Mus musculus: one gene and its partners. The protein of the gene in region 2 interacts with the protein of the main gene of each other region in a pairwise test. Links are inferred from orthologs where the notes say so. Each region holds a gene or a part of one and is shown on either strand. Other genes may lie near its edges.

The links. The genes of interacting proteins can lie anywhere in the genome.
Region 1: the proteins of Tfip11 (region 2) and Krt20 interact in binary tests that used the Homo sapiens proteins (3 or more experiments, as listed by UniProt). The two-hybrid records come from large-scale screens. The link is inferred for Mus musculus from reciprocal best matches to the Homo sapiens genes TFIP11 and KRT20.
Region 3: the proteins of Tfip11 (region 2) and Armcx1 interact in binary tests that used the Homo sapiens proteins (3 or more experiments, as listed by UniProt). The two-hybrid records come from large-scale screens. The link is inferred for Mus musculus from reciprocal best matches to the Homo sapiens genes TFIP11 and ARMCX1.

The regions. Positions count from the first base shown.
Region 1 is NC_000077.6:99,435,808-99,439,407, reverse strand, and holds the start of Krt20 (keratin, type I cytoskeletal 20), read left to right. Parts: upstream 1-1,254; 5' UTR 1,255-1,310; coding exon 1,311-1,721; intron 1,722-3,600. UniProt on the Homo sapiens protein: Plays a significant role in maintaining keratin filament organization in intestinal epithelia. When phosphorylated, plays a role in the secretion of mucin in the small intestine.
Region 2 is NC_000071.6:112,329,218-112,340,165, forward strand, and holds the end of Tfip11 (tuftelin-interacting protein 11), read left to right. Parts: intron 1-148; coding exon 149-302; intron 303-529; coding exon 530-686; intron 687-1,873; coding exon 1,874-2,001; intron 2,002-2,650; coding exon 2,651-2,803; intron 2,804-3,746; coding exon 3,747-4,274; intron 4,275-4,357; coding exon 4,358-4,464; intron 4,465-5,099; coding exon 5,100-5,268; intron 5,269-5,642; coding exon 5,643-5,886; intron 5,887-6,355; coding exon 6,356-6,498; intron 6,499-6,797; coding exon 6,798-6,963; intron 6,964-7,768; coding exon 7,769-8,124; 3' UTR 8,125-8,188; coding exon of another isoform or gene 8,189-8,524; 3' UTR 8,525-8,758; coding exon of another isoform or gene 8,759-8,830; 3' UTR 8,831-8,856; downstream 8,857-10,948. Other genes in the region: Srrd (SRR1-like protein), read right to left, coding at 8,189-8,524, 8,785-8,830, 9,101-9,255, 10,502-10,600, 10,680-10,906. UniProt on the Homo sapiens protein: Involved in pre-mRNA splicing, specifically in spliceosome disassembly during late-stage splicing events. Intron turnover seems to proceed through reactions in two lariat-intron associated complexes termed Intron Large (IL) and Intron Small (IS).
Region 3 is NC_000086.7:134,717,230-134,720,737, forward strand, and holds the start of Armcx1 (armadillo repeat-containing X-linked protein 1), read left to right. Parts: upstream 1-708; 5' UTR 709-821; intron 822-1,140; 5' UTR 1,141-1,232; intron 1,233-1,496; 5' UTR 1,497-1,589; intron 1,590-1,690; 5' UTR 1,691-1,879; exon of another isoform or gene 1,880-2,274; intron 2,275-2,397; 5' UTR 2,398-2,496; intron 2,497-2,804; 5' UTR 2,805-2,921; coding exon 2,922-3,508. UniProt on the Homo sapiens protein: Regulates mitochondrial transport during axon regeneration. Increases the proportion of motile mitochondria by recruiting stationary mitochondria into the motile pool. Enhances mitochondria movement and neurite growth in both adult axons and embryonic neurons.

The DNA.
Region 1 (3,600 bases), on a different chromosome or scaffold from region 2:
GTCTAGCTGGCCTCAGACAGAGGAAGCAGTATGCAATATATGCAATATGCCAGTTATTAAAAGCAGGAGTTTCGCAGTAATTTAATGTTGCTGTTTCTTTTTTAAGAAGCACTAGATTTAAAAATATTTGCAAGATTCTTATAACAAGTTTGTTTTTGTTTTTGTTTTTTTTTTTAAATAAGGTCCCCTTGCTAACCTAGATGTTCCTGGCAGTTGCAGGCTGCTGGGAGCCAGGCAGAGGATCTATGACCTCTGACAGGCTGCTCACACACCCAGTCCAAGGCCGCACACCCACAAGCATACAGGCAGCACTAATTAGATCCAGTTGGTTATTTTTAAAAAGAAAAAGATAAAAAGAGGTATGAAGTTTGGGTGGGGTTGTGTTAGGCGCTTCGGAGGCAGCTGGAGAGGCGAGTGGGAGAGGAGTTTATCAAGATACGCTACATGTGCATGGATGAAATTATCCAAAAATGCTATTTAAAATATCTTTTTTTAAAAAACTCCAAAATCAACTGACCCACCGCCCACCGATAATCATTTACATATTCACCTACTGACCGTATTCAATTCTTAAACGGGGGTGGGGGGAGCTGCACTTTGAGACAGTGTCTTGTTACACAACACTGGGCTAGACTGGAACACCTTACTTCAACCAGGCTGGCCTCAAACTAGTCCTGATCCCCCCCACCTCTGACTCCCGGGTGCTAGAATCTCAGGTGCACACCCACACACCCAGCTTCACTCAAGACATTTCAATAGACTGTAAATATAAATTCTAAACAAGGATAAACTTAAAAGTAAAAAAAAAATTTAAAGAAGCATAAAACATTTTTTAAAAGAAAATCATTTGAACAAGCCATTGTCTTTTCTCACCAGTGTGACTTATATTATGTTCCCACAGCTGTCTTGTTCGATGCCTGAATTATTCATATAGATTGTAAATATTCTTTATTTGTATACAGGATGAAAAAAAAAAAACCTGCCAGGGCAGGTGCAAGACCTGAAAGGACACCCCTTCCTCGTCCTTTTTGTTATCTCTGTTTATTAAAAAGAAACCTCCACTCCCACCACCCCCACAGGAAAGCCTTTAAAAAGTGCCTCTGGTAGAAATTTCTGGAATGGAATGAAACGTATTGCCGTACAAAAGAGGGGGAAGGGGAGACAGGAAGGTGGACTGTGTCATTCCTGAGGTGACACGGCAGCAGAGGAGGAGTCTCTTGAACTCTATAAAAGGTCATCTCCACAGCAGCCCGAGACAGACAGGCTGTGCTCCAAGTCCAGGCTACAGGCGTTGCCTCCCTACATCCCAGATGGATTTCAGTCGTCAAAGTTTTCACCGAAGTCTGAGTTCCTCCTCACAAGGCCCAGCACTCAGCATGAGTGGCTCGCTGTATAGGAAGGGGACTGTGCAGCGTCTGGGGGCTGCACCCAGCGTCTATGGTGGGGCTGGAGGCCATGGCACTCGCATCTCTGTCTCCAAAGCCGTAATGAGCTACGGGGGTGATCTCTCCAACGGATCGGACCTGTTTGGGGGCAATGGGAAACTGGCAATGCAGAACCTGAACGACAGATTGGCAAACTACCTAGAAAAAGTGCGCTCCCTGGAGCAATCCAATTCCAGACTTGAAGCCCAGATCAAGCAGTGGTACGAAACCAACGCGCCGAGCACCATCCGAGACTATAGCTCCTACTACGCACAGATTAAAGAGCTGCAAAATCAGGTGAGCCATGAAGCCTGTAATTTCTACCTCACTGTTTAGTTGCCTAATGGATTGAGAGATGTATGCTAGGTGAATTCGAACACATGAAGCAGATTAGGTTGAAATGTATAATTGAAAAAAAAATGTATTTTATCATGTGGTATCTGTAAACAGGATGAGTCTAACTCACATTTTTTCTAAAACTTCAACTAATTATATATAAAATATGATCATTTTATCATCCAAAATTGCAGTTCAAATCTTTGTTATGGCTTACAATATAAGGTCTTCATTGTGGATAATCTTATTTTTCAAAGACCTCCAATGGTTTCTATATGTGAGTTTGCCAGTAGTCTTTACTAACTTTGAAGACTCAAGTTGATTTAAAGAGATTTTTCATCTTTCATTATATGAATGTTATAACAAATATATTAACCTACTATGGGTATAAATAACAAAAGGGTTCAGGGTGGATACAGATTACAGATATTAATGATATGTATACTGATTGATAAATAGTTGTGTGATAGGGGATGGATGGATGGATGGATGGATGGATGGATGGATGGATGAACTGCTCTTTGATACAAGATCTGTGTATCCCAGGCTAGTCTGGACCTCACCATCCTCCTGCCTCCACTGCCTCAGCACTGGGGTTAAAGAACTGTGCCACCATACACGGTTCTGATACCTGGATTTTTTAGTGTCTTATTTAATTATCTCCTCACTATCACCAAGCATTTTATAATGCACCTCTGTGATAATAAAATGTTCTATTGCCCCCAATTTAAGTTTATTACAGTCATATCACAATCTGTTCCTGTGTCATCCATGGTAGGTGGGGTTCCCCTTTCTATAAAGCCAATGGAATAAAAGTGGGAGACTTCGCTCCTGACTGAGGACCTCAAGCATCGGCACACACCATTTGCCCAGCCCCGGGGTTCTTATCTCATCAGGAAAAGCCTCCCCTTGGGTTTTGTTTAAATCTCGAAATGATTGCAAAGGCCTTTAGAGCAAAGACCTTTGTCTTAACCACAGGCCTCTTGTCTTGAGTTCTGTTTGAATTACAGGCATCAATGCAGCTTAATTCAGACTTCATAGCCCATGAAGCTGTGTGGTGCTTACATTGCCCTTCTCATCAACAGGACGGTCCTTCAGGCTTCTCGATACAACACAAAATTCAAATTAAGCACTTCTCTCATGGTTGACGCTTTTGAATTGACTTGGGGATTACCCATAGTACTTAGGCACAGCCATTAGTGACCAGTGGTTAGGGACCTCTCTCCAGGAATAGCCGCTGAAAGGGATATGTCTAAAATCTTCTAGAAGTAGACTTCTAATCTACTTCTTAATACGGTGTTTGCCTTGAAACATGAGAACCTGACTTCAGTCCCCAGGTTACAAAGCAAAGCTGTAGAATGACTGTGTGTGCTTGTACTCCCAGCATTGGGAAAACAAGCAGATTCCTGGGACTTGCTGGTCAGCCAGCCTGGCCAACTTGGTGAGTTCCAAGACAATGAGAGACCCTGCCATACACACACACACACACACACACACACACACACACACACACACACAAAGGTAGCACTTAAGGAATGGCATGTAAGATTGTCCTCTGACCTCCACATACATACACCTGTGCATATAAACATGTACACACAGAGAGAGATGCACACAGATCCAGGATGTATCCATCCTTCTGTCCTGCGCCTAACTCCTACAGATAGCAAGTGCTTTAAGTGGAAACAGGCACAGACCACAGAAACCATCACTCAGAGAGGTAGATGCAGGGATGCTGTGCAGGGCAACAGCCACGGCGGCGCATTCGCTGCTATAACTGGAAGATATCATGGAGGGGCCTTGAAAGTGTTGTCTGAGCTGAGAGGTGAGGAAGCTGGAG
Region 2 (10,948 bases):
GCCCCCCCCCCATATAATATTTTTTAAATGTTAAATGTAAGATTATTGAGGGCCTCTCTCTCTAAGGAATTCTCTTTCGAGCAGCTTCCAGGACAGGGTGTTGCAGAAGCGTTCTTTATGGACTTGGAGGCTCTGTGTGTGTCTGTAGGGCCCGAGACTATTCTGCACCTGTCAACTTCATCAGTGCGGGGCTCAAGAAAGGGGCGGCTGAGGAAGCGGACTCCGAGGACTCTGATGCTGAAGAGAAGCCTGTTAAGCAGGAGGACTTCCCGAAGGATTTAGGACCAAAGAAGTTAAAGACGGTAGGCCTCACAGGACAGTCTCCTGGTGGCACCCCATGGAGGTCACAGTGCAGTGGCTTCTTCCACAGGGAGAAGCTGGTGAGCATCTGCAGTTCCTTCCCTCCTCCGAGTCACTGATGGCTGTGGTCCAGATGCTGCCTTTCATGATACAGTGTAGCTGTAGGCTTGAGCTCCCTGGGTTGCTCCATTTTTCTCTCTCACCCAAACTCATCTCGCCTTCTTTGCAGGGTGGCAATTTTAAGCCCAGCCAGAAAGGCTTTTCAGGAGGAACCAAGTCCTTCATGGACTTTGGCAGCTGGGAGAGACACACGAAAGGGATCGGGCAGAAGCTGCTGCAGAAGATGGGCTACGTCCCTGGGCGTGGCCTGGGGAAGAACGCACAGGGTGAGTGTGGTGGAGGGGAGGCTCCGGGAGGAAGCTCGGCAAGTATGGGTGACAGGTCCTGGGAAGGATTCATAAGCTCAAAACCCAACCAAAGCAGCTGTTACTCTGCAGCTGGGTGTGGCTGCATGGGCCACTTGTGCTCCAGCTGCTTGGCTTTCTCAGAACCCAGATTCAGTAACTACTTGGTTAAGTGAGACGGAAACTGCTAGGGTCTAAAGTGGCTGCAGACGCAGAGCTGCTTTAACCTGGCCTGTGTCTCTAGAGAAGTAACTGCTAATATTTTTGAATCAGACAGTCTCACCCAGAACTCTAGATTTAGTTTGGCTGCTTCACAGATGCCTTTTGGCAGAGTGTGTTCTTCTAAACACAGTGTCCTCAGCCTCCTGGACCTGCCACCTGCCCTGCTGTGGTCAGTGTGTGAGCCTGCCTGGGCTGTTAGGCCAGCTGCGTAGTCCCTGCTTCTTCTTAGTCTGCAACTCAGCATCAGGCAGGCCAGTGCACAGCGGCCTTCACCGACTGAAGACATGCCTGTGCTGCTGGCTGACCCAAACCCACGTTGCTCCCCCAACCAGCCTCACTGAGAAACAGCCCTTGCACACACAGCTCACCACCTTGGCTCAGAGCCACAAGGAGCAAGCACTTAGCCTCTTTGAGCCTGACGGGTCCAATCAGAAGTGTCCTCTGTAATTCACATCCCAGGCCACCCACATGCGGCTCAGGTAGTGCTGAGGATTTTTCTGGGAAGAACGTGGCAGAGCATCCCTGAGATGCTGGGCAGAGCGTGGCAGAGCATCCCTGGGGTTTCAACAGTGCTGAGTGAGAAGGTGGAAGGAAATCCTGGACGGGGGAGTAATGCTGTTCCTGTTGATTGCCAGGGCTTAGCCATATTATATAAGTTAGCTGTGAGCAGTGTGAGCCCCTTCCCAGCCCACAGCTGTCCTTCAGCCGCTCAGCCTCCTGAGTTACTGTGCTTGCCACACAGGCTTCTGATGCCTATGTTGGTCAGCACAGGAGGGCAGAATCCTCAGAGGTGGTCTCAGTTGTTGAGTCCCAGGGAGTGTGGCTGTGTCCCGAGCACAGGGAAGGCACTCCTGTTGGTATGAAGCAGGAAGTGCTCTTTTCCTGGTGTCCTCACACTGGTGGCCAGGATCTGAAAAGTCTCTTGTCTTTCTCCTGCCCTCACTCAGGGATCATCAACCCCATCGAAGCCAAACAGAGAAAAGGCAAGGGAGCCGTGGGGGCCTATGGCTCGGAGAGGACCACTCAGTCTCTGCAGGACTTCCCCGTGGCCGACTCGGAAGAGGAGGCAGAAGAGGTAAAGATGACCTCTGTGTGGGCAGCGCAGGGCCTGGACCATTTCACACAGCTGCTACGTGCTGTGTGGCCTCTGCGTGTCCTCACACCCACTTATGCGGCAGGCCCTGCTGGAACTCACCTCTCACCTGATGCCATCACGGTGTCTTGGACCTAGGGCTGTGAGGTGGGCAGCTGTGGGACAGTAAGACAGGGTGAGGACTGAGACACTCAGGTACATGTGCTGTGACTGCAGGGTAGGCTCTCTCAGCTCAGAGATGGCCCGGGAGAGCACGCGCCATGATTCCTGAACAGCTGCAACTCCACATACTTGAAAGAAAAGAAATGACTGGTTAAGTCAGTGTGAGAATAAAATGGCAGCCAGGTCGGACTTGACCTGTAGGGCGGACGGGCGTGTCCTTACATGCTACCCTCTGCTCACCATTCTTGTGGAGCTCTGCTGAGTGGGGCCAGTGTTTTCTAATTTTCTATGCTATATCTAAGTTCTGTGAGAGCCTCTCCCTTCTCTTGGGCCTGCCTTTGGCATCCAGCTACTATACACGGATGTAGGCGAGTGGTATTTGGTGGCTGCAGGCATGCTAAAGGCCTTGGCCTTGGCTGCTGTGCATCAGGCCCCTCCTGTTGTCATTGACTGCATCCCTCTGCCTCAGGAGTTTCAGAAGGAGCTGAGCCAATGGAGGAAAGACCCCAGCGGGAGCAAGAAGAAGCCAAAGTACTCTTACAAGACTGTGGAGGAGCTGAAGGCCAAGGGCAGGGTCAGCAAGAAGCTCACAGCACCTCAGAAGGAACTGTCTCAGGTCAAGGTATGAGGGCCTCACATCTGTCCGTCCCCCTGTCCATCCTCTGAGGGCTTTGTCTGATAAGTAGGTTATTGGGGTGTGTGTATGGGGGGGGGTGACTATGTGTGTGTGTGTCTGTGTATGCGAGCAGGTGTGGGTGTGTTTCTATGTGTGTCTGTATGAGCATGTATGTCCGTATGTGTCTGTGAGCGTGTGTGGGTGTGGGTGTGTGTATGTGTGAGCATGTGTGGGTGTTTCTGTGTATGTGTCTGTGTAAGCATGTGTGGGTGTGTATCTGTATGTGTCTATGTGAGTGTATGTGGGTGTGTCTGTATGTCTGTGTGACCGGGTGTGGATGTGCTTTATGTCCAGTGAACTCAGTAACACTTCTAAGGTAAGTACTCTGAGTGAGTGCTGAGCACGGCACATGCCAGGCCCTGGTTTTTACGCCTGACACCTCCCCGTGCTGACTGTGGTAAGTATAGCTCCCAACCCCGAGCCTCTGCGCAGCCTGAAGCTTCCTTTGCTTTGCGGTGAGTTTGGCATAGATTCACTTGTAGGTAAATTTTTCTCTGTTGAGATCAAGGAGAGGGTTTCTGGGAGTGCCGTAAGCAGGAAGGGAAGGCCTGCCGATGGGCCAGGAGCAAGACCTCTCTCTCCTTTAAGGACTTCTGATGTACAGTTCTGACTGGCCCACGGGTGTAAGGCATGTCATAGCTGTGCATGAAGTGGGGTAGCTAGGATCTTGGGGAAGGCCACCCTCTCTGTGATGGACTCATGGTGTTGTTATCACTTTCCGAGTAGCTAGACAGCAGTGGTGGCAGCTGCGTGTCACCGACCGGTTAGTGTAAGATGGTGTGGGTCTGACAGCTCAAGCCTGTGGTAGGCAGCTCTGTCCATCCACAGAGCTCTGTCACATCTCCCCTGCTCAGTGGTGCTAACAGGTGGTAACCTGACTCTCTCCAAGGTGATCGACATGACAGGCCGGGAGCAGAAGGTGTACTACAGCTACAGCCAAATCAGCCACAAGCACAGCGTGCCCGATGAAGGGGTGCCATTGCTGGCGCAGCTGCCCCCCACAGCCGGCAAGGAAGCCAGGATGCCGGGCTTTGCACTGCCTGAGCTGGAGCACAACCTGCAGCTGCTCATTGAGCGCACGGAGCAGGAGATCATCCAGAGCGACCGGCAGCTCCAGTATGAGCGGGACATGGTGGTCAGCCTGTCACACGAGCTGGAGAAGACGGCCGAGGTTCTTGCACATGAGGAGCGTGTCATCTCTAACCTCAGCAAGGTGCTGGCCCTGGTGGAGGAATGTGAGCGCCGCATGCAGCCCCATGGCGCCGACCCCCTCACTCTGGATGAGTGTGCCCGCATCTTTGAGACACTACAGGACAAGTATTATGAGGAGTACCGCCTGGCGGACCGCGCAGACCTCGCTGTGGCCATTGTCTACCCGCTCGTGAAGGACTACTTTAAGGATTGGCACCCCCTCGAGGTGAGCTAGGGTGCAGCCTGCTTTTGGGCTGGGGCATGGCTACTGAGGTGGGCAGGCTGATTGATGATGCTGGTGTTCTGCAGGACGGCAGCTATGGCACCCAGATCATCTCCAAGTGGAAGAGCCTCCTGGAGAACGACCAGCTGCTGTCTCACAGCAGCCAGGACCTGTCCTCCGATGCCTTCCACAGGTGCCAGGCCCTACCCCACTGTATTCCCTCATCCCCTCAGCCCCCAAGGAGCAGGAGTTGTGCTAAAGGCTGGGGGGTAAGCCATTCTGGCCCTGTTGACTCAGCTCCACCCCGGATCTGCTCTGGGTGTGGAGATGTGCTCACCCGTGTGTGCACGAGTGTCCTGAGCATCCAGGAACTGGGCTCACCCATGTGTGCACGAGTGTCCCGAGCATCCAGGAACTGGGCTCACCCATGTGTGCACGAGTGTCCCGAGTGTCCAGGAGCTGGGCTGACCCTGACCATGAGCAGCTTTCACCCAGTCTGGAAAAGGCAGTGCCAAGAACTAGTGAGAACTAAGAATGACCCAGATGTAGAGAGGACATTCCAGCTGTGACCTCGGGTGTGAGAACTGTGAACTGAGGCTCCTGGTGGGAGAGCAGCTGCTGCCCTGTGCTGTCACTGTCAGCACGTGGGCCTGTAGCAGTCCTGCCAGTGCTGGGTCCACTGAGGTGCCCAAGGCCGAGAGCCAAGACATCATGGCAGCCTCTGTGGGCACTGGCCTGAGGTTTCCTGTGGGGGTGTGTGGGCTGGCACACTTTGAGCACCGTGAAGGCAGCAGTGTGGCTGACCAGAGGCTGCCATGCCTCTAACAGGCTCATGTGGGAGGTCTGGATGCCTTTCGTTCGGAATGTCGTCGCCCAGTGGCAGCCACGGAACTGTGAGCCGATGGTGGATTTCCTGGACAGCTGGGCACACATCATCCCCGTGTGGATCCTGGACAATATCCTGGACCAGCTCATCTTCCCTAAGCTGCAGAAGGAGGTATGGCATTGCTTTGACAGTGTCTCTTATCTGTGCACAAGAGCCCAGAGGTTGAAGGACTGCCAGCATGGCTGGGTGGCCTGCAGTAGTAGTTCTAGCCTTCTCCATAGTACCCCCTTCCTACCTCTCTCGGGTGGGCATGGCCTTTCTCAAGGCCTTTATTGAACCTTGAGCTGTGCTGAGGCTTGAGTTGGTGGCATGAGTGTTTAATTTCCTTCTGTGGAGGGACCTAGAGTACAGAATACCTATTTACCTCCTCAGTGGGGTTCCCCCTCCACACACACACACTGAGGACTGTGACCCTTGGTCAGGATACAAAGGCCTCTCCCTAAGGACAGCACTGCTGTATCATGGTCATCCCACTCATCCTGCAGGTGGACAACTGGAACCCCCTGACAGACACCGTTCCCATCCACTCGTGGATCCACCCGTGGCTGCCGCTCATGCAGGCCCGCCTGGAGCCACTCTACTCCCCTGTGCGCAGCAAGTTGTCCAGCGCACTGCAGAAATGGCACCCCAGCGACGCCTCAGCCAAGCTCATCCTGCAGCCCTGGAAAGAGGTCCTCACCCCTGGGTCCTGGGAGGCCTTCATGCTCAGGAACATCGTGCCCAAGCTGGGTAAGGACATGGGGACTTGCGGGCCGAGTGCAGCCTCAGTGTCCACTATGAGGTATACTCCTTAGGGCAGAGGTGGACGGGACTGGAAGCAGGCCCTTCCTGCTGTTCCTTCATAGCTTGACCAGGGTCTGCAGTCATGACTCTGGACTCTCTGTGCTTTGTCTGACAGGGCTGGTTTGAATGTCAGAACCAGAAAGCCTCTGGCCCCCTATTTTTTAAGGAATTATTTAATGTATGTGAGAACACTGTTGCTGTCTTCAGACACACCAGAAGAGGGCATCAGATCCCACTGCAGATGGTTGTGAGCCACCGTGTGGTTGCTGGGAATTGAACTCAGGACCTCTGGAAGAGCAGTCAGTGCTGTTAACCACTGAGCCATCTGTCCAGCCCTGGCCTCTTAAGTGCTTGTGACTCATGGGATTCACTGTGGGTGGAGACTGAAGAGTGTGCCTTGCTGTCTCTCTTGCAGGCATGTGCCTGGGAGAGCTTGTCATCAACCCCCACCAGCAGCACATGGACGCCTTCTACTGGGTGATGGACTGGGAGGGGATGATCTCCGTCTCCAGCCTGGTGGGGCTGCTGGAGAAGCATTTCTTCCCCAAGTGGCTCCAGGTGAGCAGTGTGGTCCAGGAGGGTCCCCAGTGCCCTCTGCTGTCCAGTCACAGAATTGCCTCAGCTCAGCTCCTCAGAGAACCTGTTGGGGATGTGGAGATCAAGGCTTTAGCACATTTAGGCCACAGGCTGGCTCCAGATTCTCCTGGTAACTGCTAGAAGCCGCAGCTTCATGTGCCCTGTAGTGTGGGATGCTGGGAGGAGCAACACTGAACACAACAGTAGCCCCGGGAACTCTGCCCTCCCTGCCGTGGTCCAGTGTGTACATCATCAGCTCAGAGTCCTGTGTCCTTTGGCAGGTGCTGTGCTCCTGGCTCAGTAACAGTCCCAATTACGAGGAGATCACCAAGTGGTACCTGGGCTGGAAGTCTATGTTCTCAGACCAGGTGCTGGCCCACCCTTCTGTCAAGGACAAGTTCAACGAAGCGCTCGACATAATGAACAGGGCTGTGTCCTCCAATGTTGGTGAGTAGATATCTAAGTTAGGCTGTCATTGCTGTGACTGACACCAGGACCAAGGCAACTCTTGTAAAGGTTTGCAGGTTCAGTCCTTTATCAAGGTGGGAGCATGGCAGCATCCAAGCAGGTATGGCAAGGGAGGAGCTGAGAGTTCTGCATCTTGTTATGAAGGCAAACAGAAGACTGACTCTCAGGCAGCCCACACCCACAGTGACACACTTCTGGGCCAAGCATATTCAAACCACCACAGTAGTTTGCATTTGGGTCACCCTGTGATCCACTAATCACCATACTCTAGCTCCCCAAATGCATTTTCCATGTAAAGTTTAAATTATATGTTTATGTATGTGCCTGGTGGACAGCCATAAGAGGGTATCATGGGCCTGGAGTTAGAGAGTTATGGGCCATGTGAAGGGGGAGCTGGGAATCAAACTGGATTCTCTGAAAACATACATATTCCTAACCAATGAGCCCCATTTTCTGTTCTACAGAGGGGCCTCTGAAGCAAGGGATAGTAGAATGAATGTAGGCCATGCTAGACTACAAGGTGACCTCATAAATGGTGACTTTAGGGGGCCACATGTGTGGGCTCAGCCCTTGTCCACATCTCTTAGTAGTGAGAGAATCACTTCTGATACCTGATATTAGCTACTCAGCTCCCAGACCAGTTTTGTGGTAGTGACTCTCCCCAAGCATGCACTGATCATGTTAGTGGTACCTGGGCCCTTCAGCAGCAGGTCACACACAGCATGTCATCCTGGGGTTCTGCATACCCGGGGTCACATCTCATCTCTGTCCTCCCTTCTCTCAGGTGCCTACATGCAGCCGGGTGCGAGAGAGAACATTGCCTACCTCACCCACACAGAGCGCAGGAAGGACTTCCAGTACGAGGCCATGCAGGAGCGCCGGGAGGCTGAGAACATGGCACAGAGAGGCATCGGTGTGGCCGCCAGCTCCGTGCCCATGAACTTTAAGGACCTCATCGAGACTAAGGCAGAGGAGCACAACATTGTGTTCATGCCTGTCATCGGCAAGCGGCACGAGGGCAAGCAGCTCTACACCTTCGGCCGCATCGTCATCTACATTGACCGGGGTGTGGTGTTTGTGCAGGGCGAGAAGACGTGGGTGCCCACCTCCCTGCAGAGCCTCATCGACATGGCCAAGTAGACATCGGCCACACCAGACCGGTGTGAATAAACAGCACTGTAAACCAAGCTGATGAATAACGTCTCTATTTGGGAGACCAGGCCACCAGGGCAGGATGTGACTCAGTGTCCCCAGTCGGCCTGTATTCCTGGCCGGGCAAAGGATCTGGTGTGGTGTGCACCGTGGCTCCTGGCCCAGGTGGAGAGAACTGTCCTGTTACTCCAGCTGAGCGATCTGTAGCTTTCCTGATGATCTCCAGGTCCTCACAGTCCTGGTAGTCAGGCTCTTCCTGGGATGCCCACAGGTCCCCAGGCAGTCCTTCCAGCTTCAATAGTGGGAACCAGTGGACAGATGTATCATTAAAGGTGTCAGTGTACTGGGGAGTCTGCGGCAGTGGGACCTCCTCCAGGCCTTTCAGAATCTGAGCAGAGAGGACCAGATACGGGCATTAGGTACACCCCTCTCTATCTTCACCTGGCCACCCCACCGTCCTTCTGAGAAATAAGGGATGGGGGGGTTGTATTTCAGCACTTTTCAGTCCCATGCCAGTGAGACTGCTGGGCTCGCCCTAAGGATGAAGGCCACTGGCACACAGTAGGAGAGGCACCAGCTGGTTGTGCTTAGAAACATGGACAGTGTGGCTTTGCACCCTCACCCCGGCCCAGCTATTCTGTCAGACACCTTTGCAATGTAGGGGTAATTTTCCTGCAGAATCCTCGCCAACAACCTACAAATAAAAACATACATACACAATTAGGAAGTATATGGGTGTTTGCTTTCTTTTTCAACAGGTAAAAACTAGTTCAGAAAGGTTGAGGGATATGCAAGAGGGCAGCACAGGCATGCTGTGAAGCAGATCAGGAGTGTCTGCACTTAAAGCATGGCTGCCCAAACACTTCTGCCCTTGGAAGACTCCTTAGGTGCTTTAAGCTAGACCCCTAAACCATTTACACAGGTCCTCACAGGGAAGCTAGGCCTGGCATTCCTGCTGGCTCACCTTTCCTCAAGGCCTCGGAAGCTGTTCCCGATGATGAGCACCCTGGACAGGGCGTCTGCAGACCAGTTGCTCCACAGCAGGTTGTTGTATAGAGCTGTCCCACAGTGTGGCATGTAGAAGACAGTGGGCTGGCCCTGGACACTGCGCTTGCCTTCCTGTGGAACCAGCAGAATGGGTGCTAAGGAGCAGAGTGCAAAGCCCAGCTCTTCTGTGGCACAGCTATATTAGTAAGTGTAAGCACGCTGGACGTCTGTAAGGGACACAAGGAACCCATGCTGACCAAAGGTATTTCGTGAGATGACTGTCCCCATGTCCTACATTCTGGGTCTTCCAGATACCCTGCTTCACTACAGATCCTTACCACAGTGGGGACATAGACACCTAATGGCTGTCTGGCCACACCTCCACTGTGTGTGCCTCTCCCTGCAGCTTCTGTCAGGCACAAGCCCATGTTGGTGTCCTATGGCTGCCTCCACAGGATCTGCCTGTGGTACTGGACACCACCTTCTGATGGCTCTCAGTGCATAGGCCAACCCTGCTACTGTACTTGGTCTCTATAAATTAAAGGTGCCCTCAGGCCTCACCTATCTGCTCTTCTCTGCATAGAGCCAGCACACAAAAGCGAGTGCTATAGGGTCTCACTATTGCTCAAAGCAGCAGGATCATGAGGCTGAGACCATCCTGGGCTACAGAGACCCTAAAAGTGGGGGGAGGGGTGGGGGGAGGGGTGAATGTATTTGCCACCTAACCAGGCCAGTCCAACCTCAGTGATTCCCAGAACTCAGACAAAACCCAGAAAGGACACACAAATACCCATTTCTGGTTTTTTGTTTTTTTTGTTTTGTTTTTTGTTTTCTTTGTTTTTTTTTGGTTTTTTTTTTTTTTTTTTTTTTTTTTTTTTTGGTTTTTTGAGACGGTTTCTCTGCAGCCCTGGCACTCACTCTGTAGACCAGGCTGGCCTTGAACTCAGAATTCGCCTGCTTCTGCCTCCCAAGTGCTGGGATTAAAGGCATGCACCACCGCGACCGGCGTGTTTCTGTTTTTATTTTTTTATGAGTTTTCCATATGCATGCCTGATGCCTGCAGGGGCCAGAAGAGGGCATCAGGTCTTCTGGAACTAGAGTTAGAGCAGACTGTGAGCCTCCACATGGGAACCTTCCACTGAAAGAGTAGTCAGTGCTTTTAACAGCTGAGCCATCTCTCCAGGCTCTCGAGAGTTTTGTAAGCCTAACACATTAATTCATGCTGCTGATTCAAGTTTCCACAGTATATAACAGTCCAAAATGGGAGTGACTACTGGGCTCTAAGAAGGCCAGCATGGCAGGGCCAGTGGGGCACCGAGTCACAGGAAGCCTGTCTGCTAGCAGAGGTGAGTGGTCTGGAAGAGATGAAAGCACCTACCTCATTCTCACTGAGGACAGTCACGCCGAGGGAGGTGAGAACGGAAACCTCAGTCTGACTGAACAGAGGGTCATAGACCCAGCAGTGACTTCTGGGGACCTGGAAGGGAAGAGGGGCACTTCAGTTCCGGGCGCACATGCACCATCTGCCAGGGGTGGGAGAGGAAGACAAAGCTCACCTGGCACTTCTCTAGAAAGAGAAGCATAAAAGCAAGCTGGATCCGAGCAGTGGGGCAGGAGGCAAAGGTCCCAAGACCGTAGCACACACACTTCACATGGGAGGCGCTTGAAGCCAAGGGCTCCTGTGACGCACTAGGCAACGATGAGCCAAGGTGCAGCCTTCCAAGGGCTTCTGTTAGGGGCTGCAGTTGCTCCAACTGTTTCCTAAGACACTCGGTGATGGTTTCTGAAAGATCGTTCCCCCAATTTTAGTCACATCCCATACTCT
Region 3 (3,508 bases), on a different chromosome or scaffold from region 2:
ATTAAATAAGTTAGGATTAATTGTGTTGCTTTTATTTTACCAAATTTGCAAGTTAAACCAAAAGTAGAAAAAAAAATTTGCAGTTTGAATAAAATGGTTCAAATCAGACAACTGGTCATCCTTTTTTAGAGTGTTCATTCATAAAACATGCAAAAACTCCAACTTTCTATTTTCAAACAAGTTAGTGCGTTATGATAGCAATTATTTGTCTGTAATCAGTAGAAATTTGTGTGTGTGTGTGTGTGTGTGTAACTGCAATTACTAAGGTCCACTGGGTTTTCCTTTGCCACTTAAATTTTTCTCCACACAAATGAAAAACATAATTTTATATTCTCAATGTAAAAGCAAGGCTGATTTTTTTTTTCCTTTTTTGAAATCCTGTTTGGTATCAGAGCGCAGGGAAGATGCAGGCTCTTCCCAGTTGAAAGGGAAAGGGGAGAAGAGAAAAGCAGCTGGGGTGGGAATAAAGAACCGCCAGAATTGTTCCTAAAAGAGGAAGAAAGGACCAATGTGGTATCTCTGTTGTTAACCATAGAAAGGCAAATTCCAACCACAAAAGAAGCTCCTTGCGGTTTGGGGATTAACAAAGAGGAAAAAGAATGGCAGGACCTGGTGTGGCGGGGAAGGCAGGGGAAAGGCTGCCTCCTGCTGCAGTGTTGATGGGAGTGGCAGTTGGAATCCTGATCTCACTGGTGACGTGCCCCTCACGTGAGCCGAAGCCTACGTGTGCAGACCTCCTCCTAATTCTGGTCTACCTTAGTGTTTGCTCTCTCTGTTATTGTTGAGAGCAGGCAGGCCTGCTGCGGAAGGAAGAGGAGAAGGTAACGGCCTGGATGCCAGCAAGTCTATGCATGGATGATGCTTGGGGGATCGCTTTACTCTGGGTAGCTGTTAGCCAAGATACGGGCGACACAGTCTGCTCTCTTCATGCACTTGCAATGCCTTCCGATCCTCTTGGGGGTGGGAGGCGGTGAATCTTGGAGGGAGAGATTCCAGGAGAGACCCCGGATGAGGGTTTGGGGCGGGGAGCCTTTGGCATGTAAGGGCCTAGAATCCGGAGGGACAAGTATTATGGGTTGGTGCATGGATCCTATGAAGACAGAATTTTGAGGTAGTGAGATATCCTCTGTCATTCATTAGGGTGCAGCACCTTTTGGAACAAAGAAATAATCAACATCGAATTTCTGCATGTCAATTTAAAGCTGAGACTGTCTGCGACCTGCATATAAGTGGTAGCTGGGGGATTTATTATAACTCGGGGCCATTATTGACTTTGGCAGTCGACGTGTGCGTCGTTCCCTGCTCCCACCCCCAGGAAAAAGGACTGTTCTCAGAGTTGTACAGGAAAAAAAAAGGGGGGGGGGCTATCATCGGGGGTTGGGCTGGGTTGGGGAGGACGGAAGAGATATGTGGTCTTCTTCCGTAGCTCGAGTTTTCCCCGTACTCGCTGGGCCCGCCCCCAGTGCTGCGCTTCCAAAGGGGTGTGGTTTTTGCAGGAAAAAATGGCCGACCACCGCAAGAAGGAGTGTCGGGATGTAGCTGTATAGCATCGGGGCGTTGTCAGCTGAGTCCAGAGAACTGGGGGCAGGGTGAGAAACAAAACCATGAAATCCATCTGACCAATCAGGTCCCCGGATTTGGGAAAGCTAGTATTTAGGTGGTATATATTTTGTGTTCTGTCTCTGCTTAGGTGCCTGTATCTGTGGCTCTCGCTCCAGACTAAACCAAGAAGCAGGGAAGGGAGGAAAACTTCCCAGAATCAAGTAGGTCCAAGGAAGAAGTGTGATGACACTGTTTGGAGGTCGCTGGGGTAGACGATAATGGTGACTATGAACTCGAGTGGACAGACTCACAGACTTTCTCTGCACCCCTTCTCCTGGTACTGTGTTGGCGGTGGGGAGGACATTATTTTGAAATACTGTATGGTGCAGTCTTTGTTGCTTTTAGTCTAATAGGAACCCGATTTGTTGTCTTTAGGTATGGAGAAGTCAGGGGCTTAGACAAGGAGGTGGGAGGGAGGAAAGAAATTTCTCAGAGCAGTGGAAATTGATGTAATTATTCAATAGATCGTTGAGGCTGTCTTTAAGGTAGTCCGGTGGGCAGAAGTCAGTGAAGATGCACTTAAAAGTCTGATTTCTAGGTACTGATGTCTATTTCTTTACAAGGAAGGGTGTGTAGTGTCACCTTTGGATGAAGTGACAGACAGGGTAGTGGGGGGCAGGAAGACAAGATGAGAGAGGGGACTGATCATCCAAGGAGGAAGGTATATAGAAGGTAAGAAACACTGTAGTGAAGGACAAGTGCCTGGGAATTGAGATGGATATATGTCCTGCCTTGAGGGTGATTTATCTGGTTCTTGAGTTCTCAGCTCAGACCTCTGTATCCTTTTGTTTGTAGATCTGCAAGAGGCTGGAAAGGAGGAAGAAACTTCTTGGATCTCTGAGGGTATATGTGAGGGTGTCTCTGTGACCCTGACTCAAGACATCTGCTGCAAGGGTAAAGATCATTGTGTGTGTGTGTGTGTGTGTGTGTGTGTGTGTGTGTATAATAAATTGAACATAATATAAATATATTCAATGGACATTCTTGGGATGGGTGGAAGAACATAAATTTAGAGAATCTGGCTGTTTGGAAAACATCCAAAATTGCTTCCAGATAAAGGACAGGAATAATGATGAGGAGACCAAGCCCCAAATGTTAGCTAATATCTTTGTATATTTGTAGGCAAGTGATTAAGTCTATTTATGAACAAAAGCACAATTGGAGAAGTCAAAATTTTGTAATCTTCCGTTTTTTTCTTCTAGGTATCACTGTATCTGCTGTTGTAGCTGCTCCTAACCTGCAGAATCTGAAGACTTTACCTCTGACCTGAGAACAAGTCAGCTCTGTGTCCAGCTTAAGAGATTCACCCCAGCTGTACGATGGGTCGCACCCGGGAAGCTGGATGTGTGGCTGCAGGCATGGTCATTGGGGCTGGTGCCTGCTACTGTGTATACAGACTGACCTGGGGAAAAGATGAGAATGAGAAGTTGTGGGATGAGGAAGAGGAGGAAGAGGAGGAAGAGGAGGAAAAGTCTTGTAGTGACAAAACTGAGAAAGAACTTAAGACTAATGTTGGGGTAGGGGCGAGAGGCAAACCTCAAGATGACTCAAAGTCCAAGGTTGAGGTGAATGTGGGACCTGAGAATGGTCCAGGTGTAAAGAAAGAAGTGCACCCAGAATCCCAGAGTGGGGGTGGACTAGAGGCTAAGGCCAAGGCCCTTTTCAAGACTCTAAAGGAACAGGCACGTGCAAAGGCAGGCAGAGGCATAAGGCTTCCTAACATCTCTAGGAATAGGACCCTGACATCAAGTTTGCCTTGCCCAGGAGGCAGGGGTGGAGGCTGCCACCCGGGAAGGACTGGTTCTAGGGCTAGGAACAGGACAAGTGGGAAAGTCAAGAGAAAGAACCGAAGCAAGAGCAACAAGGCTCCAGCCACAGCATGGCCTGTACGCAAGGGCAAGTTCAG